Linked DNA regions of Notamacropus eugenii. Each later gene encodes a partner of the first gene's protein in a complex. Links are inferred from orthologs where the notes say so. Each region holds a gene or a part of one and is shown in the gene's direction. Other genes may lie near its edges. The genes, in order: CWC22, PPIL2, CWC27 and DHX16.

The links.
Region 2: CWC22 (region 1) and PPIL2 share a complex: the UniProt entries of both Homo sapiens proteins name them as parts of the minor spliceosome. The link is inferred for Notamacropus eugenii from reciprocal best matches to the Homo sapiens genes CWC22 and PPIL2.
Region 3: the proteins of CWC22 (region 1) and CWC27 are in contact, whole or in part, in a crystal structure (PDB 6YVH), measured with the Homo sapiens proteins. The link is inferred for Notamacropus eugenii from reciprocal best matches to the Homo sapiens genes CWC22 and CWC27. Residues at the interface, in NP_001362958.1 of Homo sapiens: Leu239, Arg242, Lys243, Tyr245, Arg246, Asn248, Asp249, Lys250, His270, Glu271, Val272, Leu275, Glu276, Thr279, Leu280, Leu281, Glu283, Arg284, Thr286, Asp288, Ser289, Val292, Val307, Ser308, Pro309, Arg310, Gly311, Thr367, Met369, Leu372; in NP_005860.2 of Homo sapiens: Arg381, Glu382, Asp383, Gln384, Thr385, Leu386, Leu388, Leu389, Phe392, Lys393, Lys395, Leu396, Thr397, Ile400, Glu412, Asp415, Asp416, Glu417, Gly418, Trp419, Met420, Ser421, His422, Val423, Leu424, Gln425, Phe426.
Region 4: CWC22 (region 1) and DHX16 share a complex: the UniProt entries of both Homo sapiens proteins name them as parts of the minor spliceosome. The link is inferred for Notamacropus eugenii from reciprocal best matches to the Homo sapiens genes CWC22 and DHX16.

The regions. Positions count from the first base shown.
Region 1 is NC_092876.1:243,434,609-243,441,583, reverse strand, and holds the start of CWC22 (pre-mRNA-splicing factor CWC22 homolog), read left to right. Parts: upstream 1-3,964; 5' UTR 3,965-4,152; exon of another isoform or gene 4,153-4,441; intron 4,442-6,975. UniProt on the Homo sapiens protein: Required for pre-mRNA splicing as component of the spliceosome. As a component of the minor spliceosome, involved in the splicing of U12-type introns in pre-mRNAs. Promotes exon-junction complex (EJC) assembly.
Region 2 is NC_092875.1:8,218,364-8,225,988, forward strand, and holds the start of PPIL2 (RING-type E3 ubiquitin-protein ligase PPIL2), read left to right. Parts: upstream 1-4,614; 5' UTR 4,615-6,193; coding exon 6,194-6,420; intron 6,421-6,506; coding exon 6,507-6,556; intron 6,557-7,287; coding exon 7,288-7,333; intron 7,334-7,625. Other genes in the region: SLC7A4 (cationic amino acid transporter 4), read left to right, coding at 1-49, 1,731-1,839, 2,866-3,065. UniProt on the Homo sapiens protein: Has a ubiquitin-protein ligase activity acting as an E3 ubiquitin protein ligase or as an ubiquitin-ubiquitin ligase promoting elongation of ubiquitin chains on substrates.
Region 3 is NC_092875.1:319,599,197-319,606,147, forward strand, and holds the start of CWC27 (spliceosome-associated protein CWC27 homolog), read left to right. Parts: upstream 1-3,940; 5' UTR 3,941-4,128; coding exon 4,129-4,170; exon of another isoform or gene 4,171-4,634; intron 4,635-6,951. Other genes in the region: protein SREK1IP1, read right to left, coding at 3,434-3,446. UniProt on the Homo sapiens protein: As part of the spliceosome, plays a role in pre-mRNA splicing. Probable inactive PPIase with no peptidyl-prolyl cis-trans isomerase activity. As a component of the minor spliceosome, involved in the splicing of U12-type introns in pre-mRNAs.
Region 4 is NC_092873.1:84,542,469-84,549,897, reverse strand, and holds the start of DHX16 (pre-mRNA-splicing factor ATP-dependent RNA helicase DHX16), read left to right. Parts: upstream 1-4,428; 5' UTR 4,429-4,691; coding exon 4,692-4,898; intron 4,899-4,906; exon of another isoform or gene 4,907-5,113; coding exon of another isoform or gene 5,114-5,122; intron 5,123-5,833; coding exon 5,834-6,075; intron 6,076-6,205; coding exon 6,206-6,371; intron 6,372-6,756; coding exon 6,757-6,813; intron 6,814-7,429. UniProt on the Homo sapiens protein: Required for pre-mRNA splicing as a component of the spliceosome. Contributes to pre-mRNA splicing after spliceosome formation and prior to the first transesterification reaction.

The DNA.
Region 1 (6,975 bases):
TGCCATCACACAGATTTATCAGCCCCACTCTCTCTCGTCCAGAGCCTTCAACGTCCAGTGGTAAGACAAAAGTCAAGACAACTGGTAATGACCCAGGATGCAGTGGATGACCTTGGTGTTTTCAATGTCTAAACAGACTCTTAAGAACTTCATAGCATCTGCTTCAGCCACCTTCATGGCCCTTGGAACATATTGTTCCCATCCTCCCAAAAGTCTTCACATGATGGGGTAGACATCCCCCTAACTCACTGAAAGTTTTGAAGCCTGTTAGTTACCCTCAACCTGGTGTAACTTGTCTGCCAAGGCAGTTTTACCATGCTGTACCCACTGAGCATGCTAAAGTTTCTTCGAGCCACAGGTGAGAGTTGAGCAACAGATGAGCACCAAAATTGGGTGTGTGTGTGTGTGTCTGTGTGTCTGTGTGTCTGTGTGTCTGTGTCTGTGTGTGTGCAAGCAGCCCAAGATGATCACAGTTCTGCCCCTCACTGCCTACTCCATCCTTCTGGGCCTCTACCTATATAATGAGGTGATTGAACTAAATGACCTCCAGGGTCCTTTCTAGTTCTTAACCAGTGATCCTATGTGATTTTGACACAGGAAATATTGGTGGTAAGGGAGATACTTACATGTAGACTATTAGTCTAGACTAGAGTCACTCTTTAAAAGGTTAATGCACCTCCTAGTGTCTCTGAAAAAACTGAAGGTCACCCTTTAGTGATTCCCCATTTTACTTATACTGAATATAACAATGTCTGTTAGTGAATGGGGAGGAGGGAGCTCAGGTGAGATTTCTTTCTACTTTCTGATAATAGCTATTAAGTGTTGTACAGGGTGATATCATTTAAAAATAATAATTTTCTTTAAAAAGTCTAGAATCCTTCTTCAGGAATGACTGAGATGAAAATTAAAAGAATGGGATCAATAAACTGAAGAAGAGCTAAGGAAGAAAAATGCCAGATTAATTTGCATTTTTACAAAGTGCCCAGGCTAGTTACTTCTATTAAGGTTACGTTAAAACTTTGCAACTTTTACTTTTTTATTTTAAAACTCCTTTAGTGTCTTTAATAAGGAAAATGTTTACTTCAAGAGAATGAGGATAAGAAAGAAATTGTAAACCTGCATCCCCTTCCTTAGTAGATCTGATTAGGCAAGAGCCTAATGATGGCCAGAAGATGGCCAGTTAAGTTGGGTTTTACCAGCTAGATGCCCTGCATTACCTTGCCTTTTTCTAAACCTTAAACCTACTGCACCCTGAAGTTCATACATTGGACGACACTAGGCCTCTGCCTAAGGGCTCTCTTCTGGACCCTCACGGCTTAAGAGTAGTCAATAGTAACCGTTGCTGTTTCCCTACCAGCCTGAGGTTGTTTTTTTTTTCTACGCCTCATTAAAGGGGTCATCCCAGGTTACTTTAAGAGGCCGATTCACTGAATGGGTGTTACCTCACCCTAAGTGAGTTCCTGAAAAGACTTTGGCACAGTCAAGTACAAGTTATGTCATCATTTCTCTGATGGCATGATCTTCTTCGGCAACGAAGGATGAACGCAGCAACAACAGATCTAATTGAAAGGAACCTAGAATAAAAAGAGGAGAGGGAGATAGTAATTACCAAGGGAAAGCAGACAGACACAGAGAGAAAGAGACTGAGACAGAAGCTTTTGGGGAACCAACCTATAACCCAAAAGATTTAACAATCACAGCAGAGCCTTGGGGCATAACCACATCTTTATATGTGCTTCAGAAAATTAATAGCAGGTGGAATCTATAAATATTTTATTAATTTAATGGGGATGATAACCAGGGTTGTTATGAAAATCAAATAAGATACTATCTGTAAAGCATTACATTAATGTTAGCTATTATTATTATTCTATTCTATTAACTTCATATCTGAGTATATCCTTTGATCTCCTTCACCCTCACTCAATGATCCAACCTATGTAACAAAGTATCTTAAAGAGAAAAAGGAGCTCAGCAAAACTAACCAACACATTGACCTAGAATGAGAAAATGTACAATCTTCTACAACCATGGTTGCCAACCTCAACAATGAAGGAAAGAAGGTACATTTTTAAAGTTCCTCTCTCGAGTCAAGGTTGGTCATTACACCATTGTTTTTGTTATTGTTGTTCTTTTCATTTATATTGCTATTGTTTTACATATTGTTTTTCATTACTTCTGTTTACTCTGCATTAGTCAAAGTCATCCCAAGCTTCTCTGAATTCTTTATATTCACCATTTCTGGTACAAAGTAATACTCCACTTATACTATGTTACTATATAACAGTTTGTGTAGCCATTCACTAATTGGACAGCTACTTTGTTTCTAGTTCTTTGCTATTACAAAACATGTTCCCACAACTCTTTTTATGTATATAGGATATTTCTTTCTATCCTTTATTTTCTGGTGGATATATGCCTAACAGTGATATATCCTTGTTATATGTATTTAGTCACTTTTTAAACATAATACCAAATTGCTTTCCCAAATGGTTGGACTAATTCATAGTTCTAAAAACAGTATATTGTTATTATCTTTAAATAGTTCTTCAACATTATCTGTGCTTATCTTTTGTCATCCTTGCCAACGTGCTGGGTATGAGGTGAAACCTGTGGACTGTTTGGATTTGAATTTATTACTAGTGATGTGAATTAATACTTCATATGTTTAACAGCTTACAATTCCTCTGAAAATTTTTGTTCATATCCATTGATCATTTATTTATTGGGGAATTAAAGCTAGGTCTTAAATATTTGTGTTTGCTTCCTATATATCTTGAATGCTGCATCTTGATCACAAATATTAGAGGCAAAGATTTTTACCCAGACAAAAGCTTCTTTGTTAACCCTGTTGCATTGATTTGTTAGTTTAAAAGCTTTTCAATATTATATAATCAAAATAATCTCATCTTTTAAGATCATTTCTATCCCTTGGTTCAGAACTCTTCCCCTAGCCACAGATGTTCTCTTCTTCTAGAGTGTGAGTGTGTGTGTGTGTGTGTGTGTGTGTGTGAGAGAGAGAGAGAGAGAGAGAGAGAGAGAGAGAGAGAGAGAGAGAGAGAGAGAGAGAGATTGATTTAATATTTAGGTTGGTATCCATATTGAGCTTATTTTGTAATATTTTGTAAGATGTTGGTCTACATTTCATTTCTGCCAAAGTAATTTCCAGTTCCGAACAGTAACTCGCTTGGGTTTTTATCAATTACCATTCCAAATTAATTAATTTTTGATTCATTCTTATCTAGTTTTTCCACCGATTTTTTTAATTTTAACTACTAACTACTAAATACTAACAACTTCTAACTTTTAACTACTACTTTACCTTCTACCTTTAAGTGTATTTGGATGATAATACTTTATGGTATAGTCTGAGACCTCAAAATGCTGTTTCTCCCTTCATTCACTATTACCCTTGAGCAGCTTTCTTTTTACACAAAAAAACAGGGTTTTCTCTATTTAAATTGTGGCTTTCAAATTTGCAAAGCACTTTACTTACATGATCTCATTTGAGAAAAGCCTAAGATGGTTGTTCCCATTTTTCGGGAAATAAAGGTTAAAATAAGCGGCATGCCCAGGGTGGTCCCGCAAATAAAGTCGGAGGCAGCATCTGAACAAACCTTCCCGACTTCTAGCAAACCTAGTCTAGCCATAACCCAGGCAGCTCAATACCTTTTTGTCGCGTGTTCCTGTAAAGGCAGAATTCTGCAGCTTTATAGGCTTTGTAACTCCTGAAGGCACAGGGAGCAAATACACTATCGGGCATTTCCAGGGTTTTCCTGCAGGAGTATCCCGGACAACTTAATAACCTTCTCAATCACGGTAAGACAGCTTTAAAGCTGAGCACCCGAGCACAGTTCTCACACAATCGTGAGTACCTCTAGAGGTAACAAGGGGAACTCGGATTCCCAGAGAGCATTGCGGCCCCGGCCGTACTACAACGTCCACTATGCACTGCGCGAACCCTCCCCTCTACGTGGGTGTACGCTGGAGCTTGTAGTTTTTTTGAACACTTCCCTAGTGACCATCTTGGCGAAGTAGAAATTTCGGTGGTTTGGGAGTGGTCGGCTTCTCTAGATGGTATCGAGATTTGGGATTATTTTAAAACAAGAAAAAATCCAGCTCTGGAAATACCGACGGCTTCTCCGTATCCAGGTTTTGAAATCAATTATCATTCACTTCCTCTCCACAGCCACCCAGCCGCCCCAAACCTCGAGTTAGGGCGGGGCCAGAGGAACCGGAAGTTGCGTGGTGGAGCATTATGGTGGCGCAGTGGAGCTCCAGGTATTTGCTGAACGCGTTTGCGAGGAATGGCGGAGCGGAGCGGGCGTGGGGCTGGGGAAGAGGGGCGCGGGGCTTCCGCATGTGGCTGCTTTGATGTACAGAGGAGGTCTGGGCAGAGCTGGCGCCCCTCGACGTGGGGCCTGCCCCTGCCTCTTGGCGGGTACGCCCCGGAGTGGAGGGATGGGGTCGCTGCCGGAGCCCTGTCCCCACGCGTGGGGATCGGGGAGGTGGGGGGGGGGGGCTCTGGGCGGTTAGAGGTGACCCCCCCCCCCCCCGACGTTTCTTAGGCGTCTGTGAGTACACAGCGCTGAGCCACAATGCCGGCACCTAGGAAGCGCTGAAGTATTTCTCTCCTAGTCCGTTCCTCTCCTCCTTTTTACCTTTACCTCGTCTTCCCTTTCCTCTTTTCCCCCTTTCCTCCCCTAATCCCCCATGTTCATTTTCCTTCCCCTCCTTCCTCTCCATTCCCCTCTAGCCTTCCCCTCTCTTGACCTGAAAGTTTGGTTAAAAAAGGCAAGCAGCCTGAATACATATGGTTTATTCCCTTAGAACTTGGGGTTCCATGACTGTGGAGCCGGAAAAGTCAGTCCCTAATTCTAATACAAGAATGACCAGGCTTCAGTCTGTTTTAGGACGTCCAGGCGTGTCTGTGTCCCTCAGATCTACGGTCTCTATGTGGGTTTAATCATTCCATGAGAAAGGAATTTTCTTAATTGAATGGATTGTAGATACAATAAGGTAACAGAGTTGACAAAGTTTCAACTGAAATTGACTCGACATCTGAGTTTTCTTCACCATTAACATACCATAACATAGTATATGTCCACAAAACATTAAAAATGTGGAAAAAAGCCCTATTATTCAAGACAGCGTCTTGGGTTAATAGTCTCATAAAGTATACTAAGTTAGCCCCATCTGGTCTTGCTGACATAAGAAGAGGTATTCTCTGAGTTTACTTTAGAGAACAAAGAGACTGTTAGGTCCAGGCTCTTCTGACTGATTAATTCAAGCTCTGGCCCTTATTAAAGTCCAAAAATGATAGTAAATGTTATCACCCTCTCTCCTCCTTTCTCCACTACTTCTCCCCCCTTTCTTTTCTTCTCTCCATTCCATATCTTCTCTCTCCATCCCCTGCTCCCCTTCTCTCCCTCTCTGCCCACCTCTCTCTGCTTTCTTCTTTTCTCATCCTACTCTCTCCTCTCTTCCACCTTTGTCTCTCCTTTTACTGTAGTAAGAGGGAGAAGTGAGGCTGGTGACCTGCACAGCCCTCTCTCACTCAAAACAAAATCAAGTGCAAGTCATGTCATTTCTCCGATGGCATGGTTTTCTTCAGCAAGGAAGGATGAACACAATCCTGTGAGTAGATGCAGCTGGCTGGATGGGGGGACCCAGCTAGCTGAGTAACTCAACTCCTCTCCTGTCTGCCTCCCTTCCCCTTTCTTCTCCTCTCCAAAGGAAGATAAATTTGGATGGCCAAAAGATGCCCAATTGACTTGGGTTTTATTGGCCCCTGTTCCAGCCTGTCCTGTCTTCTCCTGTCCTGTGACATTAAAACTACTGCACACTGAAGCTGGGATGCCTATGGACCCCTGCCCAAGGGCTCCTCTGGATCCTTCTAGCTTTGGAGTGATTATCAATAATAACTGTTGCTGTTTCCCACCCAACCTGCTGTCTTTGTTTTCTTGATCTCATTAAAGGGACCATGCTCTGGCTACTTCTTAAACGGGCCTATTCAATGAATGGGCATTGCCTCACCCTAAGTGAGTACCTGAATAGACCTTGGCCTAAAGGGGCCAAGGTCTCCCATTGCATTCTGGGTCATCTCCAGTCATCCTGGTGAATATCCGGTCACTGGATTCAGATGGCTCTGGAGGAGAAGTGAGGCTGGTGACCTGCACAGCCCTCCCTCCCTCAAAGTCAAGTGCAAGCCATGTCATCATTTGTCTGATGGCATGGTCTTTTTCGGCAACAAAGAACGAACACAATCCTATGAGTGTCAAAATATGTGTTCATTCAGTTTAGGTCTTAACAAGTTCTTGATAACATTACCTCTTCAACCTTAGCCACAAATGTTTCTGTGTAAGCTTTGATTATCAAGTTGCTCTGTTTTAAAAATTAATTTTTAAAAAATAATTATTGATGCCTTTTGTGTTTTATAACAGTCTCATTTCTGGAGAGAACAAACACTGCCTGCCCTACCTCTATTGAAGCTTCCCTTTTAACAAAGAAAAGCAACTAATATGGTTACCATAATCTAACAGCTTCTTTATCTATTCTCCAATACTGTCATTGGTTTTTCAGTTACTTAAAGTTTGGTTTCATTTTAAAGATCTTCATTTTGTATTCTTTTGGTTCTCCCTATTTCATTGAATTAGTTCGTACAAATCTACCATGTTTCTGTGAATTCTTCCTTTTTGTCATTTCTATAAAGGATGACAGCACTGAGGGCCATTTTATATTTTTCTTTGTTTAGTGGCTGTGTTCCAAGTCATCACCAAGTGACAAGCTTCTCTGTATTTAGTTAGGCTGATCTTCAAAAAGTAAACACAGTGTGTGGCATGGACCAAACTAAGGATTGGAAAATCCTGCTCAAACCTAATCTTAAACTAGTATTTCTGTGACTACTTTAAAATATTCTTGTGCAGGAAGGTGCAGGTGTAGTCTTGCTGAGTTGGTTGCTTGTGACAGGATAAC
Region 2 (7,625 bases), on another chromosome or scaffold:
CCTTCTCCTTGGTGCCCATCAGCAGCAGCCAAGCCAGGATACTTTCCAGGTAACTTTCCTCCTCCAACTTCCTCAGCCCTTTTGCCCTCCCTTCCAATTTTTCTCCTCCCAAGAATCATAGTCCTTGCCCTCAAAGAACTTCCATTCTAATAGGGGGAGCAACATGTCAATAACTAGATACCTATATGGTGGTTTGAAGGCAATCTGAAACGGGAAAGGTATTGGCAGCTAGGGACCCTGGGGAAGGCCTGCTGCAGAAGGTGGGATTTTAGATGAGTCTTCACTAGGTGTGAAAGTCAGTCAGTCAGAAGATAATCTTTTCTTAAGCCCTAATGTACTAGGCATTGGTGCTAAGTGCTGGGTATACAGAAAAAGACAAAAACAAAGTTCTGGCCAGCTCTCAAGGAGCTTACAGTCTAATGGGGGAGACGACTCAGTACCAACCAGATATTTGCTGGATGAACTAAAGATAATCACAGAGGGAAGGCTCCAGCATAAAAAGGGTTGGGGAAGGCTTCCTGTAGAAGATGAGATTTTAGCTGGGACTTAAAGGACATCAGGGAGGTCAATAGTCAGCAAAAGAGGGAGCATGTCTCAGGCATGTGGGTGGCTACAGAGAATGCCCAGAGCAGACAGATAGAGGGTCTTGTTTGTGGAACAGCTGGGAGGCCTGTGTTACCAGAGCAAAGAGAACATGTTGGGGGGGAATAAGGTAAAAGACCGGAAACATGGGAAGGCATCAAAGCCATGGTGAGTAGGGGTGACATGCTTGGACCTGCACTTTAGGAAAATGACTTTCGTAACTGAGTGGAGGGTGGATTGGAACGGGAGAGACTCAAGGCAGGCAGACCTCCCCTTCCCCACACCCATCCCTAATAGCTATTGCTACAGTCCTGGTGTGATGTGATGAGGGTCTGCTCCAAGGTTGGGGAAGTGTCAGAGGAGAGAAGGAGGTTATATGCAAGAGATGTTGCAAAGGTGGAATGGACATCAGATGCTGTACAGTTGAAACTGATCAGAGATGTTGCAATGGTGAAATGAACAAGAGATGCTGCAGAGGTGAAATTGACAGGCCTTTAAACCAGCTTGAATGTATGTGGGGGGGTTCAAGCTAGTGAGGGATCCAGGATGACCCCTGGTTTAAGAGCCTGAGGGATTGGGAGGAGGACTTGACTGCAAAGGTTTTTCATTCTTTCATTCCAAAGGAGCACTCACACATTTATGCACAATGTCTAACACATAGTATGCACTGAATATCTACTTGTTGGCTGACTAAATGACTACCTCAGCACATATACTGACTCCTCCACCTGGGTGCAAATCCTTCCCACACTCACCTCTGGGACCCCTAGAATCCCCTTTAGGACACACTTGCCCACTCCCACACCGACCAAGTCCCCTCTTGGCACCTGGGGTTCTTAGCTTAGCTGCTCGAGCTTCTATTTGACTGTATATTTCTAAACAAAATTGATTTCAGAGCCAATGATGATTCTCCTCATTCTTGGTGGAGGTTGGAAGGGTTGAGATGGAAGAAGAGAGGGAATAAGGAGCCAGTGTAGATGAAGGAGAGAGATTTTGGTTATGCTCACAACCCTGGTACTGTTGTGACCACACCTGAGCCTCTGGGAGGGGGGTGAGCTGAGCAGATCACACCCCTACCTGCCCAGTTCCCCTCTCCCACTCTTTCCCCACTACTCTGTGCTTCAACCTTGCCCTCCACTGTCTCCTAGATCCCTTGGGTGCCTCTGATTCCAGCCCTGAGCATCCTTCTGAATATCTGTCTCATGATGAAATTGAGCTATATGACCTGGCTGCGTTTTGCTATCTGGTTACTGGCAGGTGAGTGTCCAAGTGAGCTCTGGCTTCTCATTCTCAGGGGCTGATAGGGTCTCTCCAGGGCTGGGAACCACTGTCATCTCCACACACCACTGCCTTTCAATGCAGCAGACATCTACCGAGGGCCAGGTGCTTTGTGAACCCTGGAGATCAATGTCCCCTGCTCTCAAGGGGCTTCTAGTTTATATTCTGTTCCTGCCCTGAGGAGGGGACTTTATCCCTTTCAAATAAACTATGACCATTTTACCATCTGATTGGGGCTCGCTTTGAGGGCTCAGGTTGGGGAGGAGGAGACAGCTGAGAGTGGAAGCTTTCTGTGCCTCTTCTCAGTCTATCTTGTCTGGTCTGGCTGGACTCTCCCTTCCTGACCCCAGGCTCCTAAGCAGAATCAGAAGTCCCCGGTTCCCTGGGACCTTAAAGGAGAGAGAATCTAAACCTGGGCAGGGGAATGTGACCAGGTTGTTTGTGGCAGTCTGGCAACCTCTTCTCACAATAATGTTTTTAAATGCACAAAATAAAATACACAGGATTACAAAGGAAACACAATTTTAAAATAGTTGTCAAAATATTTTTTAAAAAGAGTTCTTAATCCCAGGTTAAGGATCTGGGTCTTAACCCAGCATCCCTGACTAGGAAGAGGTCATGTGACCCCTGTAGGAAGACCAGAAGTCGTGGGGATCTTGTGATGTCTGGGGCAGCCCCGTTCTCATTTGGACACTTTCACCGTTAGATAATGTCTCAATATATGAAGCCCTGTGACTCCTTTACCAATGGGAAGGTTCTACTTTCTAGAACTAAACAGAACAGACTGAACACCTCTTTCTGAACAGCTCCGTCAGGTTGTTGTACACTGTGGTATTTCTGTTTGATGTCAGGAAAAGCTTACGATTAGAATGGGCTGCCTTAAATGGTAGCTTCCTATGCCTACAGATGTTTTGGCAGAGGCTGGGTAACCTCTTGTATGCTTTCCTCTCAGATGGGCACAGGCCTCCTGGGCAGCCTAACCTTTCTTTCCCCTAACCCCCACAGGGCTTGGCGTCTACTTTGGCTATGGAATCAGACACAGCAAGGAGAATGTGAAGGACGCTCAGGGTTCAGGCAGCACCCGATATGTGGTATTCCCCAGTGGAAGCCTTGAGGAGACTGTGGAAACAGTGCAGCCCCCTGGCCAAGCCAGCTCAGGACCTCCTCCCAGCGCTGACAGTCCTAGCCCGGGGAGCAGCGGCTGATGCCCAGCAAACTGTTCAGAAGGGTCCTCACTACCAGGGGCTGGCAGGCCTGGCTTCTCCTCCCCCACCCCTTATGGCTCTCTTCCAGCACCCTTGGAGCCTCCCTCTGAGGAGGAAGGAAGCATATTGTGAGAGCAATCTCCCCCACCCACCTTCCCTGCCTTCCTCCTGTTGGCCTGACCCTGAGGCCCCTACAACCAGCCACTCTGGAAGTGGCCCATAGATGTCTGTCTGGGGGTGGGGCATGGGGGCAGAGGGCTGGGGGAAGCACCCATGGGGAGCCCTTGCTTCTAGTGAGTCATGTCCAAGGGCCCGGAGGGTTAGGAGAAGTTTGGAGAGCTTGGAGGCATCTGGAAAGAGTGATGACTGATTATAAGCAATTATACATTTTTTCTTTGCTGGTGCTGTGTATGCCATTGAGACAGCTGGTACGGTGAAGAATGTTAATACCGATACCAACAACCCACACAGAACTTTCTGTCTTTGTTCTCAACAGAGGGGGCGGTGGGGCCCAGGAAAGGGAAGAGCCAGCTCTGATGGGGACGGATCTGCTCATGGTTTGTCTCCAAGGACCTGGGGTCTCTCTCCCCAGCTATCTTGAGGGGTGATCTAAGCAGTCTCTCCTCAGTCCATCCATGAATAAGCACCTACTGTGCCAGGTACCCTGTCTCAGTCACGGCACACCCAGCGATGAAACGTGGTCTGTTTGCTTCTGAGGGAGCCGATCTCTCCCTTTGCTGTGGGGATGAGTCAGAAGGGCTCCCTCCATGTGGCTGGGCTCAGGGCTCCCACGGGCCTTCACACCCTTCGGAGCTAGGGACACCTGGGCTCCCTGAGCAGCATAGCCCACAGTCAGTCAATGAGGCAGATTGGAAAGGGCCTTCTTTGTGCCCAGTCCTGGACTAAGCACCTGGATCCTGAGAAAGGCCAAAAAAAACCCAGTCCCTGCCCTCAAGGGACCCATATTCTAATGGGGTGGACTTAGATAACTAGGGTGTGCAAGCTATATACAGAGTATTGTATGCGGTATCCATGCATGGGTATGGCCCTGGATCAGGAAGGCTTGGTACAGAAGGCAGAAGAGGTGGGTCAGCACCTCGTTCGAGTTATCAAGTTTCACCTCTGGTAAGCCTCAGTTTCCTCCTCTGAAATGGGTTAACGATCCTCTCCATCCTTCCTTTTCTGGGTTGTAGATAGTGGGGAGGCCTGGGCCTCTAGGCCTGCTTCTCAGATTCCATCTCTGACCTTTCTGCTGACCGTGGGCTTCACGTCTCTGTAGAGCTGCCTGGTGGATGTTTTGTGCGGGATATCGAGCCTTAAACATAACTCGTCTTCCTGCCCAAACCCTCTCCTCTTCCTAACAGTCTTAGTGCAGTCGAGAGCCTCCAGGCTCCGAGCCCAGGTGTCAGCCTCAGCACCTCACTTCCCCTCATCCTCTGCAGCCAATCAGAAGCCGAGTTCGCAATGTTTCTGGTACACGCCCCCTTCTCTCCGAAGCTGCCCCGCCCTGATGCAAGCCCACATCCCCTCCTGCCAGTGCCAGCTGCTGGGCTCTCCCCACTCCAGTGTACCCCACTCAGCTGTCAAACTGATCTTCCTAAGGCAGGCCTGACCATGTCACCCTCCCCCACTCAATCATCCCTAGAGACTCCCTCTCCTCTCCAGGGTGGAACAGAAGACTCCGCTTATACCCCTGCATCCGCTCCCTGGCTCCTGAGGCTTCCTTCAAGTCCAGAGTAAAAGCTCACCTGGCAGAAGAAACCCTTCCCAATTCCCTTCTACTGACCATTTCTAATTCATACGTATTTTTATGTCGCTTTACACATAGCAAGCTTGCATGTTGTGTGTGTGAGAGAGAGAGGGAGGGATGGGGAACCAATTACACACACACAAAGATGGTGAAGAGTGCGTTTAGACTCCGGGCTGTCCAGGGCACGAGCTAAAGAACATTCTGTCCTCTCCTACCCCACGCTCTCAAGGAGGCACACGTTGCAGGGAGGTGACTTCCCATTTCTGGAGCCCCTGACTCCCGTCCCTCCTCCCATAACAGACCACCTTTGCCTCCATTAATGCTCCCAGAGTTAAGAACTGTCCTCTCCTGCCCCAGTTAAGGTGCCCTTTCTTTTGGGACTCCTTGAGGCACTAGCTTATTCTCTGGCTCCAGAATTCCGACCTTTGCATCCAGAATGAGCCAAACATCGGGGAAGGGGAAGGGAAGGAAGCTTTACAGGGATCCCTGGGGGTCCCTGACAATAAGGAGGCATCACCGCAGTCCCGGAAGTAGTACTAGCCTTTCTTACAAACTAAGGTTCAGCCACAGATCCAGACTGGCCCATGACCCTGACCCCAGATTTATCACCATAGGGGAAAGGCTGGGTTGCACCTTCGCCTCCCTGAACCTCAAAGTTCTCATCTGTAAATTAAGGCAGCAGCTCTCAAAGTGTAGCCTGGGGGTCCCTGAGACCCTTTCTGGGATTCTTCCAAAACTATTTTCTTACAACACCAAGCTGTTTTCGTTTCTGTTATGGCCGATGATCAACATATACAACCCACGTAAAACCTTGCCCCAGGAGGTGTGGCTCTAACTGTGAGGCCCAGGGCGCAGCCGGAGGGATGGTGCCTGAGTGGCCTCCCAGACCGTAAGGCGGAGGGGTGACGTCATCCGTCCTCCTCCCTTTCCTTTGTGCTGGAGCTCATCCACTGCTTGGGGCTCCCACCTGCGTCCTCAGCCCTCCTTGGCCTTTCCCCTGCAGGGCCGCTTAATGTGGTTGTTTAATTGAATCTGATGGATCCTGCTGCCTGGGAACTAACGGGGGGCTGGTGTGGATTAAAGGGTTTCCCTCTCTGGACCTCAGAACCCTCATTTATCAAACAAGGGGGCTGGAGATGAGGACCTGCGTTCGAATGCCTGCATTTGCCACCTAGAACCTGCGCGTCCTTGGACAAACGTGCCTCAGCTTCCCCATCTGTAAAACGAGGGGGTTGTACGAGATGGGTCCCTATGAGCTCCAAGGTCCTTTCCTGGGCGAATCTCCAGATCGCGGGGGCGATTTTCGGGGGTCCCACGGCCCTCTGTCATTTTAGGGTACTCTCCATACGGGACCTCGCCTCGCTGACTTTCCCCGCACATGCTCCGTGACGGCGGGCCCCCGCCCCACCCGCGGGACTACATTTCCCGGCACACCACAGACTTCCGGAAGACTCACCGGAAGTTCCGGAGGCACCCCGGAAGTGGGCTGCGCGGGCGGCCCGCCGGCTGTCTGGGAGGGCCTGAGCTCGGGGGCGCCCGGGTGGCAGACCCCGGCCCCGACCCCGCCGCCGCCATGGGGAAGCGGCAGCACCAGAAGGATAAGATGTGAGGGCCGGCGCTCCGCGGGGGGCGGGGGGCGGGGGGCGGGGCCGCCCTCCGCGGCGTGGCGTGACGCTCGCCTCCCTTTTCAGGTACATCACCTGCGCCGAGTACACGCACTTCTACGGGGGCAAGAAGCCGGGTGAGTACCCGCCGCCGGCCCGACCCCGGGGACCCCGGGCGGGGGGAGCATCTTCTCACCGTTGTCTCAATCGTGTTCCTCGAGCGCCCCCCCCAGCTCTGCCTTGTTTAGCCCCCGCGACGCCTCATCTCCCGCCTCTGCGCCTTTGCACGGCTGCCCCCGTTGCCTGGGGTGCTTCTCCTTACAGCTGCCCCAGAATCCCCCTCCTCTCTCTGCAGAAAGTCTGTCCTGGCCCCCCGGCTGCCGCCCCCCCCCCAAACGGGCCTTATAGACCTACCCCTTGTCTCCTGAAGAAGCGTCCGCGCTTGGAGGGCAGGGAGCGTTCCGCTCCTGGCACACAGTTGGTGCTTAATAAGTGCTCGCTGGGGGGCCCACGAGGAGGAAGGGGCTGCAGCAGGACGTGAAAGTGGGTGCCCAGGACGGCGCAGGGCACGGCCAGGGCTCCAGGGAGGCCCTTGGACTCGGGCTCCTTCCGGCCTGGGTGGCAGGGCCTTGGCGTTACAAGGGTCCGGGGGCGTCCAGGGTGACCCCTGGAATGCTGGGGCTGGCTGGTGAGCAGCCTGAAGCCGAGGTGGGGCCTGGGCCAGGGTTCCGAGAGAGCGGGGCCGGGAGATGGGCGCTGCTGCCCCTCCTCCGCCAGGGCACTGGAATTGGGGGTGCCCGTAGGAGCCCCCTGGCGGCCTTGCTTCCAGAGCCAGCTGTGACGCCGGCCCCCGCTTCGTTTCACACAGATCTCCCACAGGCGAACTTCCGGCGCCTGCCGTTTGACCACTGCAGGTAAGAGCTTCCCTGCCCCCCGTGGGCTGTTGGATGAGCCCGTGTGAGCGGCTTTTGGCTCCAGGCCACTCCACGGAGGACCGTGGTCCCAGCCACCGACACTCGGGGGTTCAGGCTGGCCCTCGGGGGCTCAGAGGCTGCGGGGAGGGAGGGAGGGTGGTAACACGGCGAATGGCACTCACTGAGAAAGCCCTGGCTCTGTGGCAGGCGCTGGGCTGAATGCTGGGGACACAGGCACAAGGGAGCCCTTCCCTGCCCTCTGGCAGCTCTCCTCTTCATGGGGGGCCAGGGA
Region 3 (6,951 bases), on another chromosome or scaffold:
GTGCATACTTGAAATTTCAGAAGTGCTTTTCAAATACAACAACCCTTTAAAGTGAGACACACCAATACGGTTGTCAGCATTTGAAAAGATGAGAATAGCTATGCTCCTATTAGTGACTTGCCCATGGTCATACAGAGAGTACATGCTGCAGCTTGGCACACTGGCCATCAAGCCCAGTTAATTTCATCTCTGCAATATCTTTTCACAACCATCTCCTCCTTTTTATTTTTTTTACATTAATTTATTTGTTTTCAGTTTTCTACAATCACTTCCATAACTCTTAAATTTTCTCCCCCTTCCTCACCCTCCTTCCCTGAGATGGCTTGCAATAGGTTCTACACATACATTCTTATTAAAAATATTTTTACATAAGTCATGGTGCATAGAAGGATTAAAATGAATGGGAGAAACCATGAGAAAAACTAAACCAAACCAAAACATAACACAAGAGAAAATAGTCTGCTTCATTCTGTGTTCCCATTCCATAGTTCTTTCTCTGGATGTGGATGGCATTTTGCCTCAAGAGTCCTTTGGGAATGTTTTAGGTCCTTGCATTGTTGTGAAGGGCTTAGTCTCCTTGCACACTGTAGCTGTTACTGTCTATAATGTTCTCCTGGTCCTGCTCATTTCACTCAGCATTAGTTCACATAAGTCTTTCCAGGTTTTTCTGAAGTCCGACTATTTGTCATTTCTTATAGCACAACAGCATTCCATTACATTCATATACCACAACTTGTTCAGCCATCCCCCAATTGATGGGCATTCCCTCAATTTCCAGTTCTTGGCTACCACATAAAGAATTGCTATTAATATTTTTGTACATGTGGGACCTTTTCCCATTTTTATGATACCTCCTCCTTTTTCTTCTGCACTACCATCCCCCTCACGTAGAAAATAATCACTATTCACGTGCACTACTGTAATAGTCTTCTACCGTCCAATGAATGCTTTCCTCCTCTGCTGAATTCCTCATTTGGAAATCAGGTCACATCACTTTTCTGCTAAAAAATCTACAATAGCCTTAATTTACTGCCTAGGCAAAGTTCAATCTCTTGTCTGGCATGTAAGGTACCCTCCAGTCTGGCATTACTACCGTCATACATCAACTATCTAGTTCAGGCCAAAGTGGCTATTCTGGGAATGTACCTTTAGGAATCTTTTTCATTAGTCCCAAAGGAATTCCCCTACCATTCTTTCGTCTACTGAATTCCTATCCATTATTTACAATTCAAATTAAAATGCCAACTCTTTCTCTGGGACCTCACGTAGCATTTTACATAAATCTCTAATGTACACATCATGTATAATTTTATATTATAATTTGTGTGTGTGTGTGTGTGTGTGTTATACTCTCCAGAAATACTAAGTACCAAGAATGTAGAATGATCCCTGACTTACCAAAATTCTACTTCCCCATATCCCTTGACAACGTAGATTTGGGGAGGCAGTTTATAGGATCATAGATTTAAAAATGAAAGTTATCTCAGATGCTATCTAGTCTAATCCTATTATTTTACAGGTAAGCAAACTGAGTTCCAGATACGTTAAGTGAGGTACCCAAGGTTATACAGGTATTAAAGAGGCAGAGAATTTAAGTGGGTCCTGACTCCATCTCCAAGCACTGTACCATGAAGTGGGCAATTAATACATGCCTATTGAATTGATTTGAGTGTATTCCCAGGAATGATACTTTAAAGTAGGTAGGACAAGTATTCACTTAGGAAACTGGCTCAGAGAAATTTTCATTCTTTAACCATGCCTCAATTTGGGGTAGGGATTCTTAACTTGGGATACAAAATAGACAAGAGGTCTGTGGAAAGATTTTAAGGAGACTGTGAATTTAGATGGGGGAAAAAGACTTCTTTTTAAAAACTAACCTCTAATTAAAATTGAGTATTTCTTTCAATTATTTAAAAACATTATTTAGGTGAGGGATCCATAGGTTTTACCCGACTGCCAAAGGGGTCCATGACCCAGGGGAAAAAAGGTTAAGAACTCCTGATTTAGGGCCATAGAATTTAGAGCTGGAAAGGGTCCTTAAAAACCACTTAGTGTATAACCTCTTTTAAAGGAGTCAACAGAGGCACGAAGAAATTAAGGGGACTGTGTCTTGCTCTCTGGTGGTGGTATGTAGAAAATATGTCACATCTAGATTAATTAAAATTAGGCTTTGGTTTCTAGACACTTTTCACTACACCACCCTGTCTCTGGAGTTTAACTTAATTAAAAAAAAGGCATTATTACTATTAAAAAACTTTTAAAAATATCACGCTTCCCCCATCTCTCCTACTCTCTCCCCCACAAACATCTGTGCACACACACCATGTATACATATATACATACCACATGCAGACATGAACGCACAACATATATACCTATAAACACACACCACATATACACTGTCCACAATACTGTCATATATGTAACACCACATACATACCACAAATATACTTTATACATTCGCACGCACATGCATGTACACCACATAAACATATACCCATGCATACAAAATACATCACATAACATATGCATACCACATGCATATACAGCATGCTTACACTCATACATGCACGCCACATATAACATAATCAGACACACATATATTCATAAACATATATTACATAAAATATGTATATACCATATATACACATATAAGCATACACATGTAAACACATACACACACCAGACATGACATACAACTACAAACATAATGTGTTTGTGTACACGCATGTGTATACATGTACGCAACACAAGCCACGTACATGTCTATATCCCACACTCTCAAGCCATATCACAGCACACATTTCGCCCACATAATACATGCTCGCACATGTACAATCACACACAATCATACTACATTCATATACGTATAAACATATACCACGCAAACGTAATCAAATACGCCACCCAATGACATGTGTGCTGTGTTGTATCCCACTCTTCATGACCTGTGAGGTGGTTCTCTTGGCAAAGATAGGCGAGGGGCTGGCCACTCCCCTCTCCAGTGGAGGTGATCTGTCTAGGGCCGCACAGCTAAGGAGTGTCTGAGGCCTCACATGAACCTCTAGGCACGGATCTACCTAGCTGCCTCCACCGCCTGGTACACACACCGCACATACACAATGACACAATCACACATGTGTTCGTACGCTACACACACATACAGACACCACACATACACACTCACGTACACGTGATCACATATGCACAATACACCACACACGTGTTCCCACTACATTCATACATGTAAGTACATCCCCCATATACACACTCACAGTCTACAATCACACCGCACACACACATACACAATCCACCACGGAAACCTGACCTCCCGCTCACGCTCTCCCTCGCCCAGGCCGCAGAGCTCCGAGCTCCCCCGCCACCTCCCTCCCGGCTCGCCTCCCCGTGCTCCGGCCGACCCCGGGGCAGTCACCTGGCAGGGCCATAGCCCGGGCGGAAGCAGCCTCTGGGCCTCAGCTGCCGTTGCCACCGCCGCCGCCGCCGCCGCCGCCGCCGCCTTCGCTCCCCGGACACCGCTTCCGGTGACTCCGGCTGCGCCGCGGGTTTCCCCTCTCCCGCCACAGCCTCCTCTTAGGGACCCGAGTCCCGAGGAAGACTACAGAACGCGGCAGTTTCAGCCGCAGTTCGCGGACGGAGGCATAAGACCGAGCACTGGTGGTCCAAACCATTTCTGACATATACATACACCGGGGGAGGGCGTTTAGGACTTGCCAATCGTTAACTAAAGATTGATTTAAAACAAAAGAAAGTTTCTTGCGAAGCTAGATAATTAAATGAATATTAACTTCAAGCGGATGCTCAGCGGGCTCTCTTCACTCTCTCCAGGAGAATTTCTGTAGGAGAAGGTCGAGGACACCCCTCCCCGCAGAGAGCGGTGCGCAGGGCCAGGTGCAGTATGGCGGCCGCCTGGGTCAGTTAGTGCCTTGTTAGGCTGTCGGAAGGGCAGGACCGGCAGTTGATGCCGTAGCTGAGGCCGCCTCTAGGAGCTGTCAGGACTGGCCCGCTGGGCTTTCCCTTCGCCGTGCAGCGCGGACGGTCAGACAGAGAGCCCTTGAGCCTCGTAAGGAGCCCGGCAGCGGATCTCCCCTCCCCCGACAGCCGTCCAGGATGAGCAACATTTACATCCAGGAGCCGCCCACCAACGGAAAGGTGAGAGCGCGCGCGGGCGCGGGGGAGCTTCCCCCTCGCTTCCCTGTTGGCGGGGTGCGCTGTGGAGAGCGCCGGCCGCACCTTGGAGTCGGGAGACCCGAGTTCGAATTCCCGCCCTGTCGTTTACGAGCCGTGCCGCCTTGGATCAGTCACTTACCTTCCCCGGGCCTTAGTTTCCTTGTCTTTAAAGTGAGGAAGCTGGACTAGATGACAGCTAAGGACATGGCAGATTCCATCCCCCATACTTGGGGAAGATTTGCAGTTGGACCCGACGCGAACTGGGTGCTCAGTTTTTCAAAACACACAGAGAGGGGAACTGTCTACTTTCTCCTCTTTCCCCCCAGCCTTCCTTCGACCTCAGAACTTTTGAAGCAGGGGACTCTTAACCCTCTTTTGTGTTCTGGACCCCTTTGCCGGTCTGGTGAAGTCTGTGGAACCTTTCTCAGAAGAATTTTGAATAATTGGTTAGTGAAAATAAGGATGTAATTTTTTTCCCATGCAAATTTACAGGAACCTCTTCCCCCCCACCCCCCCAAAATCTGTTTACATCCCCTAGGTAAAGAATCCTTGCATGAAAGGAAGCCCAGTCAAGTATTTATCATGAACCCACTATGATCCAAAATCCGGATTCTGGAATCTGGATTCAAAGGATCCCAAAGTGGGCGAAGCTGGAAGGATCCAGGCTCGGGGCAGGACTGGTGGTAGAAACCTTGGGTGCAGTTGGGAGAGCTTAATAAAAATAAGGGGCTGTGGAAGCACAAGGAAAGAAGAGAAGAAAATTTTGAAAAACTTTGTACATGTCTCATCTGTTGTGTAATGAAGTCAAAGTCCTTGTGAGTAAGTGATTTTCCAAATAAGCATACAAAGTGCAAGCTATAGCCCATCAGTGGTTAAGTCCAGGGGCAGGTCTTAAACAAGCAGATGTTGGCAAGTGAGGTTGCCCTGCATTGTCAGAAAGTCCAGAATATCAGCGGGAATCCCTGCAGGCCATGACTTTTTACAATAGGATACTATGTTCAAAATTTCAATGCAGTCAAAAACCCCACAAATTTATAATAAATTATTAGATTTAGCTTGTGTAATTTAAAAAAAATTTTTTTGAAATGATGCAAATTTTAAAAAACACTTTAAAGTGTTAAAGAAAACTTTCTTTGTAGATTTCCAGGGGTGTGCCAAGTAATGTTTTTTTGAAAAGGGTCCTTAAGCCAAATAAGTTTGGGAACCTCCTATCTAGATGCTGGAGATCCAGGTAGGGCCTTTGGTACCACCTAGTCCAAACCCTTCCTGTTGTAGATGTGGGAAGGGAGATGGAATGATGGGACTTGCTTAAGGTCACCTGGCTAGTAAGTGGTCAGCCAGCCAATAAGCATTTATTAAATGCCTACTACAACATTTATTAAACCCCTGTGACAAGTGCTGTGCTAAACGGGGATTCAAAAAGAGGGAGAACACAGTTCCTGCCATAAAGGAGCTCACAGTCTAATGGGGGAGACAACAAACAAACATGTACAAACAAGTTATATACAAGATAACTAGGATATAATTAAGAGAGATTTGGGGCACTAGAACTAAGAGGGGTTATGAAAGACTTTCAATGAAAGACGGGATTTCAATTAGAACTTAAAGGAAACCAGGAAAATTACTAGGCAGAGTTGAGGATGGAGAGCATTCCAGGCCTGGGGGACAGTCAGAGAAAATGTCCTGAGCTGGGAGATGCAGTATTTTGTTCCTGGAACAGCAAGGAGGCCAGTATCAGTGGATTGAAGAGGATGAGTACATTTCATAGAGTAAAGGCTTAAGAAGAGTAAAGGAGGGCTCTAGAATACGAAGGGTCAAACAGAGGATTTTTGTATTTGGTTCTGGAAGAGATAGGGACCCACAGGAGTTTTATCAAGAAAAACAGTCAGTAAACATTTATTAAGCACCTGCTTAATTGCCAGGTACTTTGCTAAGCACCAGGGATACCAAAAGGGTAAAAGAAAGTTCCAGGCCTCAAAAAGCTTATAATCTATGAGGTAGACCATATGCAAATCTATGCAAAGCAAGTTATATACTGGAGAAATAGAGATAATTGAAAGAGTGAAGTTTATTGAATAGACATGGTCGACCTTGCATTTTGGGAAAATCATTTTTGGTTGAATGGAGGGTGAATTGAGTGGGAGAGACTAGAAGCAGGCAGACCCACCTGCAGGCTATTTTCAGGGTTCACTTTAGAGTAATGACAGTGTCAGAGGAGAGAAAAGGGCATGTTTGAGAAATGTTGCTGCAGAGGTAAAATCAACAGGCCCCTGAGAAAAGATTGGAAATGGGGGTTGACAGTGAGTACAAGATAACTCCTAGGTTGTAAGCCTGAGGACTGGGAGGATGGCTTTGCCCTCTACAGTATTAGGAAAGGTAGGAGGAGGGGAGGGTTTAGGAAGTAAGATAATAAATTCCATTTTGAATATATTGAGTTTAAGATGTCTACAAGGTAGCTGAAGATGTGAGATTGGAGATCAGTAGAGAGACTGGGAAAAGAAGGGTAAATTTGAGAATCATTAGCTTTAAGGATGATAATTAAATAGATGAGATCTGATGAGATCAGCAAGTGAAGAAGTAGTATAGAGGGAAAAGAAAGCCCCAGGTAGAACCCTGAAGGATATCTGTGGTTGGAGGGCATGATCTTTGGGAAGATCCCACAAAAGAGACAGAGAAAGAGTGGTCAGATAGGTAGGAGGAGAATCAGGAGAGTCATATCCCAAAAACCTAGAGAGAAGAGAATATCAAGAAGAGGATGATCCA
Region 4 (7,429 bases), on another chromosome or scaffold:
GGGAAGAACCCATCTGACCTCTAATTCATGATCTTAGGTTCAGACTGTTGTACAATGTGTTCTAGACATTTTCAGCGAAAGGAGAGAGCCTTTGGCTCTCTGGGAGTCAAAGAATCCAAATCCCCTAAGGAAGGGGGCAAAGCCTACTGAGTCATGAGAAGGTAGAATTTTCCTTCCTTCTGAATAGCACTCTATCCATTGCTAACCCCACCGTGCCAACACCCCACCCTGCCCCAAGGTTGGTAAGTGCAGGCCACTCTGCCTTGAGAAGTTCTGCCCTCATTCCTTCTGTTTGTTTACAGGTGCATCCATCCCCTCTGGGGGTTAAAGATGTACTTTTTTTCTGCCTGGGTCTCCACCCACTTATGTTTACAGCTTCCACTTTGCCAAGTCTCACTCAGCCAAAGTTCCAGGTTTACAGATCACACCTGCCATGGTTATGTTACCACAACTCAACCAGTGGGCGGTCCTCTCACTTGCCTTCTACTGTTTGGAGCTTGGCTTTCTTCTTGAATGTCTAGCCTCCCTAACCCTGCCTTGTTCAGTATTATTTGGGTCTTCCAAAAGGAGGAGGGGTGACCTCAATCTTTCCCTCCCTTGTAGCAGTTAATTCTTATGTTTCTTCCAGTGACCCAGAATTAAACTGAAGGGAACACAGGAGGGTCCTAATGAGGTCCTACCTTACATCTCCTTGTCTATGGCCTTTTTTTCCTTCTTTAATTTTCTGTAATAAAATGGAGGCCTCTCTGGCTACATCTTTAATTCTTCCAATGAGAAGTCTATGGGGTGGGAAGCATGAATTTGACCAGATTTTCATGCTCTAGGGGAAGGGAAGGGCATTCCCTGTTCTAGGGAACAGATTGAACTCTCTTTAGCTTTGTTGGTTGTAAGCAGAAGAAGAGACTTCAGTGCAGGGGGAACAGCTTTGGGGGAAAAAAAAATCAAGTGAGAAGAGCTGAAAAGATGGAGAAGTGGACCTGATACCCTCACAAATAGCTAAGAAAATCTCCCTCCTTAGGGTGTGTAGCCCATAGAAGGGAGGTAGGGAGTTCTATTGTAGCTGGCTCCAAAAGGAATTCATTGTAGGCCCGGTAGGGCCCTTAGAGTTCATCTAGTCCAATTATCTTCATTTTATGAACAAAGAAATTCAGTCAACAAACATATATTAAGCACCTACTTGTGTGCCAGGTACTGTGCTGAGCACTGGTGATACAAAGAAAGTCAAAAACCAGTTCCTGCTCTCAAGGAAAGATTTAATAAGATCCAAAGACAACATGTAAACAACTATGCACAAACAATACAGATACAGGATAAATGGAAGATAGTCAGCTGAAGGAAGGCACTAGAATTAAGGAGGATTGGAAAAGGCTTCTCAGAGAAGGGGGAATTTTTTCTGGATCTTGAAGGAAACCAGGATGACCAGGAGACAGAGATGAGAGAAAGAATGCCAGGAGTTCAGGCAGCTCTTGAAAATGCCCAGAATCAAGAGATGGGTTCCATCCAAAGTATTGCTGGATTGCAGAGTAAGGTATAAAAAGACCAGAAAGGCAGGAGAAGGCCGGAAGATTAAGGGCTTTGTAGACCAAAGAATTTCATATTTGATCCTAGAGGTAATAGGGAACCATTGGAGTTTGTTGAGTGAAAGAAAAGGGTTATCTGGTCAGATGTGTGCATTAAGGAAGATCAGTTTGACAGTTGAGTAGAGGATGGATTGGAGTGGGGAGAGACGCGGCAGGGAGACTAATCAGGAGGTTACTTCAATATTTCAGGTGTGAGGTGATAAGGCAAGATAGTGGCAGTGTCAGAATAGAGAACAAGATGACGGATAGTTCGATTTTTACAAAAAGGAGAAAGAACAGAATTTGGTGACAGATTGGATGGGGAGGGCAGTGAGAGTGAGGAGTTAAGGATGATACATAGGCTACAAGCCCTGAGTAGTTAGAGGATTGCAGTGGACAATAATAGGAAAGATAGGAAGAGAAGAGGTCTTGGAGGGAAAAATAATGAGTTTGGTTTTGGATATGTTGAATTTAAGATGTCTGCAGAACATCCATCTGAAGACAGGAGATTAGAGGCCAGGAGAGAGGTGAGGAGCTAGGTAAGTAGATCTAAGAGTCATCAATTGAGAGGTAATTGAATCCTTGGAATCACTAAGTGAAATAGTATAAAGGGAAAGGAGAAGAGGGCACACTTTAGGGACACCCAAGGCTAATGGGCATCACTCAAATGAATGAATAAAACATTTATTAAGAACTTGCTGTGTGCAAAGTACTGTGCTAAGCACTGGGGGATATACATAGAAAAGTAAGACAGTCCCTACTCTTAACCAAGGAGCTCACATTATAATAGAGATAACATATTGGAAAGGTTTCATGATCTTCAGGGTGCAGAGGCAAAGCAGATTATGTCCTTTCCACTGATAAAATCATTGGTTTCTGATAATGAACCATTTTACAGTGTCAAGGGCTTTGGTAGCAAGAATCCTGGGTCTTCCAGGACTACATTGGGTCCAGTTAGCTGTGGCTGTAACGCCTGTAAGAGCAGTTGTCAGGCTGCATCTACACAGGGTTTGCTTCCTAGGACGATGACTGAAGGCACTGAGGTTGGAAGCATTGCTATTCCCAAGACTCAGGTTCAGGATCATGACCTGTGCCCATAGGTTCCGAAAGGAGATAGTGGTCAAGGTTGTAATGATAATCTGACTTGCCAGACACATGCTGCCTTCTGGCTCTCTCTCTAGGTATCTTGTGTGTGGCAGTTGGTTGGCAGTTTCTGGGGATGGCTGGCTCTTTCACCAGAGGAGTTACCTCTCTAGATGATGACTGTAATGGCCAGGCCTGAAACAGGACCAGTGATCTAAGACCTGTTGCCACTTCTAGGGCCCATCTGACTATTGGTGGCAGTTGGATAGGAAGGTGGGCTTCTTCTCCACAATGATTCCTCCCCTCAATGAATCCAGAAAAGTAAGCTAAGAAGAAGCATTCACACTGGGAGAAGAACCAGGAAAGAATATTGTCATAAAAACTTAAAGAGGAAAGAGTATTTTTTTTTAAGAGAGTGATCTATAGTGTCAAAGGCTGCAAAGAGATCAAGAAATATGAGGACTGAGAAAAGGTCACTATATTTGGCAATTAGGACATCATTGGTAGTTTTGGTTAAATGATGAAGATGGGAGCTAAACTATACAGTTAAGACAGGAAAGAAGGTAGAGGCACCCATTGTAGACAACCTCAAGGAGGGTAGCCACAAAAAAGGGGGGAAAGATGAAGGACAATTATGAGGATAGATGGATCAAATGAGGATGGGGTTAACAAGGACACGTTGTTAGGAAGTAGGGAAGCAGCTAGTAGGTAAAAAGTGACTAAAGATTAACAACATGGGCAGCTAGGTGACCTAGTGAGTACAGCACTGGCTCTGGAGTCAGGAAGACCTGAGTTCAAATCCAGCCTCAGACACTTGACACACTTACTGGCTGTGTAACTTTGGGCAACTCATGTAACCTCAATTGCTTGGACACCCCCCCCACCCCCACCCCCACTCCCCCCCAAAAAATAACAAGAGAATAGGGAAGATAGTCTGCAAGAGAAGAGAATGTTCTTGTATGTTGCAATTTGCCATGGCAAGAAGTACTATCTGTGAGACAGAGGTGAAGGATCATTCTATCCGAATGATCTTAGGAGAACGAGCTCTCCATGAACAGTCTCAATTTTTTCAATGAAATATGAGTTAATGTTCTCAGTTGAATGAATAAGGGAGGGAGTCACAGGAATTTTGAGGAGGGATGAAAAGGTTTGGGAAAGCTATTGAAGCTGAAGTCCTGAGAAGCTGTAACTTCCCCAAGGTTATGTGCAGATAGAAAGCAACAGTATCAACTTCATGAGCTGGAATATCAGAAACTACTGTTTCCATTATTTCAAATATTCAGGCACACACTGCTACCCAAGCAATCAGTTGTGCAAGATATAATGTTTGTAGCTCTAATCTCTTTTAAGACCTTACAGTCTGGTCTCTAATTGAGAGATTTCCCCTCTACCAGTGGACAAGGCAGTTGACATAATAGTGAGTGTCTCGGTGATTTTCCAGTTCTCGGGCATCTCTATATATCTTCCACAAATGCCCACTGTACTATTCCCAAAGCCCTGATATTGAGAAAATCCCATCCTTCCTTCAAACTTCATCCAGGAGGCGCTTCCCCCAGCACAGAGAGAGCAGGCAGTCACTTAACCCTTCCACCTCTCCCCAGATCCTGGTTCCCGGCCTTTCCTTGCTGCGAAGTCCTCCTAGACATCTAACTTCTATCCTTCATGCTCCTCTTCTTGGCAGGTGAAGCCTGGCGAAGCCTGTAACGCCGCCCGCTACACATGCAATAAGACCTCCACTCCTGTAGGGGGAAGCCAAAAAAAGAAACGGGGTAGGAATTCAAACCGGAAGTTTTTCTTGTCCTCGGCCTCCCGAAAGGTCCCTTTTCGTATCGCCATTTTCCTGCCTGCTTGGCTGGCGGTACGGCCCGGAAGTGGTGGGTGCCGGGGCTACGGGCTTTGCGCCTCGGGGCCCTGAGGGGCCCTCGCTCTGCCTCCCTTCCGAGCGCACGCGCCCGGGCCGCGGCCTTTGCCGGGACCATTGCCGTGGCCGCGGGGCCCCGCTGGGGCCGAGCGCCGGAAGTCGGGGCCGGCTGACGCGCCCAAGTCCCCATGGCGACCCCGGCCAGACTGGAGCGCTGGGTGCAGGACGAGCTGCACGCCGTGCTGGGCCTGAGCGAGCGGCACGTCGCGCAGTTCCTCATCGGCACGGCGAAGCGCTGTGCTACGGCCGACGAGTTCGTGGAGCGGCTGCGGGACACCGGCACCTTAGACCTCAGCGGGCCGGCCCGGGACTTTGCTCTGAGGCTCTGGGCCAAGGTGCTTCCGGGAACGCGGAGGGAGCCCCCGGAGGCCGGGGAGACAAGCCCGGGGAGGTGGGGGCGGGGCCGGATGTCCTCCTCTGGGAGACGAGGGAAGTCCGTCCGTGGCCACCACGTCTCTCGGTGGCGCGGAGGTTAGCGGCTGTGAATAGTGACGAACCTGCGCGCCATAAATGCCCACGGGCACCGACGGCATGTGGTGTCCTCCTGCAGATGAAACTGGTGAAAGGGCGCAGGAGGGGCCCCAAAGTGCAGCACACGTCGGGCTGGCATCAGCGGGGCTCACGAGGGGGCATTACAGGGTTTACGTGGTCTACTTGTGGGATAAGACACCAGTAGATCTGCATGCAGCGGGTGGGATGGTTCCATCAGGTTGTCGTTGCGTGTGGCCTTAGTTTTCCAAGAGGACCATGACATGACATGATGACATGACTTTGATTTGAGTGAGGGAGAGCTGTGCAGGGTCACCAACCTCACTTGAGAGAGAAGCAAGACAAAATGTCATGGGAAATTCAAGGGGAAAGACCATTAAGGATCCAGGGATCAAAAAAAAAGGGCTTCATCCTCTCATTCCTCACCTGAACTGCTCCTCAACACACACAACTGGGGAAGCTGTTGTTTTCATTGAGTATATCCTAGTGCTAGCTCTGATCATAGGAATACATGTAGGAAGAGATCACAGTCACCACGTGTGCTAAACTAGGAGGATTCAGAGAGGCAAAAGACAGCCCCTATTCTCAGGGAGCTCACAGTTTAATGGGAGAGACAGCTGGTTTGTGGAGGTTACAAGGGGAAATAAAATGGATGTGTGGAAACTGAGGAGTTATAGGAAAGGGATAGATGATGAAAGATGTGAAGCAAGTGCTCTAGGGTACTGAGATAGGCAAATGGAGCTAGCAGCTGATAACCTTTTGTCATCCCTTCCTTTCCTAGGTCCCACGGAAGGCAGTTGTAGAAAGGCCAGGCCGGGTGGCAGAGCGTGAGGCTTTGGCTCTGCTAGAGAAGAATCGTTCATACCAGCTTCTGGAGGAAAGTGAAGAGAGCGATCGGGAGATCCAGAGCCTAGTGAGAAGTGGGTCCCAAAAAAAGAGCAAGAAACGGAAACATCTTAGGAAGAAGACCCATGAAGAGGAGGAAGAAGAGCAGGACTCTGAGGGAGACAAGAAGAGGACAAAGTGAGTATCTTGACAACAAAAAGTTCCCCAAGGGGAGTGGAATTTGGGTAGGAGAGCCAATAATTATGAGTCAGAGTATGATTAGACTCTGTTTCTCTCTTACTTTACCTAAACTGGGGCTGATCTGCAGGGTGAATGAGAGCAGCAAAGAGCAAAAGCCAGAGTCAGAAGATGAGTGGGAACGAACTGAGAGGGAGCGGCTTCAGGACCTGGAGGAACGGGATGCTTTTGCTGAACGTGTGCGAAAGCGGGACAAGGAGAGAACACGAAATATTTTGGAGCGGTCAGACAAGAAGGTGCATAATTGTTGGTGTGTCTCATAACAATTTATGTAGATACTCGAAAGAGAGTGGCAGCCAAGGAAGGCCCCTCTGTAGTTTTATACTCCTGATATCATTGTCAGATTTGTGACCCCACAGATGATAGTCCTTATGAAGGGAACTGGATCCTTGTAGCCCCATGTTTGTTGTTATTCTGGCAAGTATGACTATGGAGAGTACAGTCTTTTTTTTTTTTTTTTTGAGTACAGAGTCTCTTAAGCATCATTTTAGCATCTGCATTCATAGACAATTCTCCCCATAAGGTACTATGACCTCTAATCTGTCTTCATGATCCTTATGATTCTGTAGAAGTGGGGGTGGGAGCCTGGTTCCTTAACTACCTCCTTATTTCTCCTTTTAGGCATATGAGGAGGCCCAGAAGCGCCTTAAGATGGCTGAAGAAGACCAGAAAGCAATGGTAAGTCATATCCCCCATAACCTCTCTTGTGAGCCAAGATTAGATGCCTGGAAAAGATCCCCTGTGTGTTATAATGGAAAGAGTTTCGAGTCAGAGGACTTGATTTTGGTTAAACTCCATTCTACTGCTTCTGTCTATGTGATCTTGGGCAAGTGTCTTAGCCATTTGAGGCCTCCTCTAACTCATTTGTAAAATGAGTTGGCTGAACTAGATGATCTATATGGACCCTTCTACTTCTGCATCTCATGTTCTTATCAGTTGTCAGGTTCTTGAGACAGGTTGTAGTTGAGGTTTGGATTATATGTAGACACTACTGCAAGAGGTACAAAGGATAACCATGAGAAAGACTGCTTGCACGTGAAAAGTATGTTCAAGCTTGCTGCAAACCCTCCGTGGTTGGTTCTTCAAGGACCAAGTTATACATCGTATTAACAGGGGGATAAACTTCTTTTGGAGATTGTTTCCTTGTGTCATTGATGAATGTGCAACTGAAAGTTAGCTCAGAAGGAAAAGGAATGACTGGGTAGATGTCAGGATGCACTGGCTTTGGGGTCCTCTGCCTAGTCATCCAGCTTGGGGAAACAGGTCTTTATAGTTCTTGTGTGATATAGTAGAA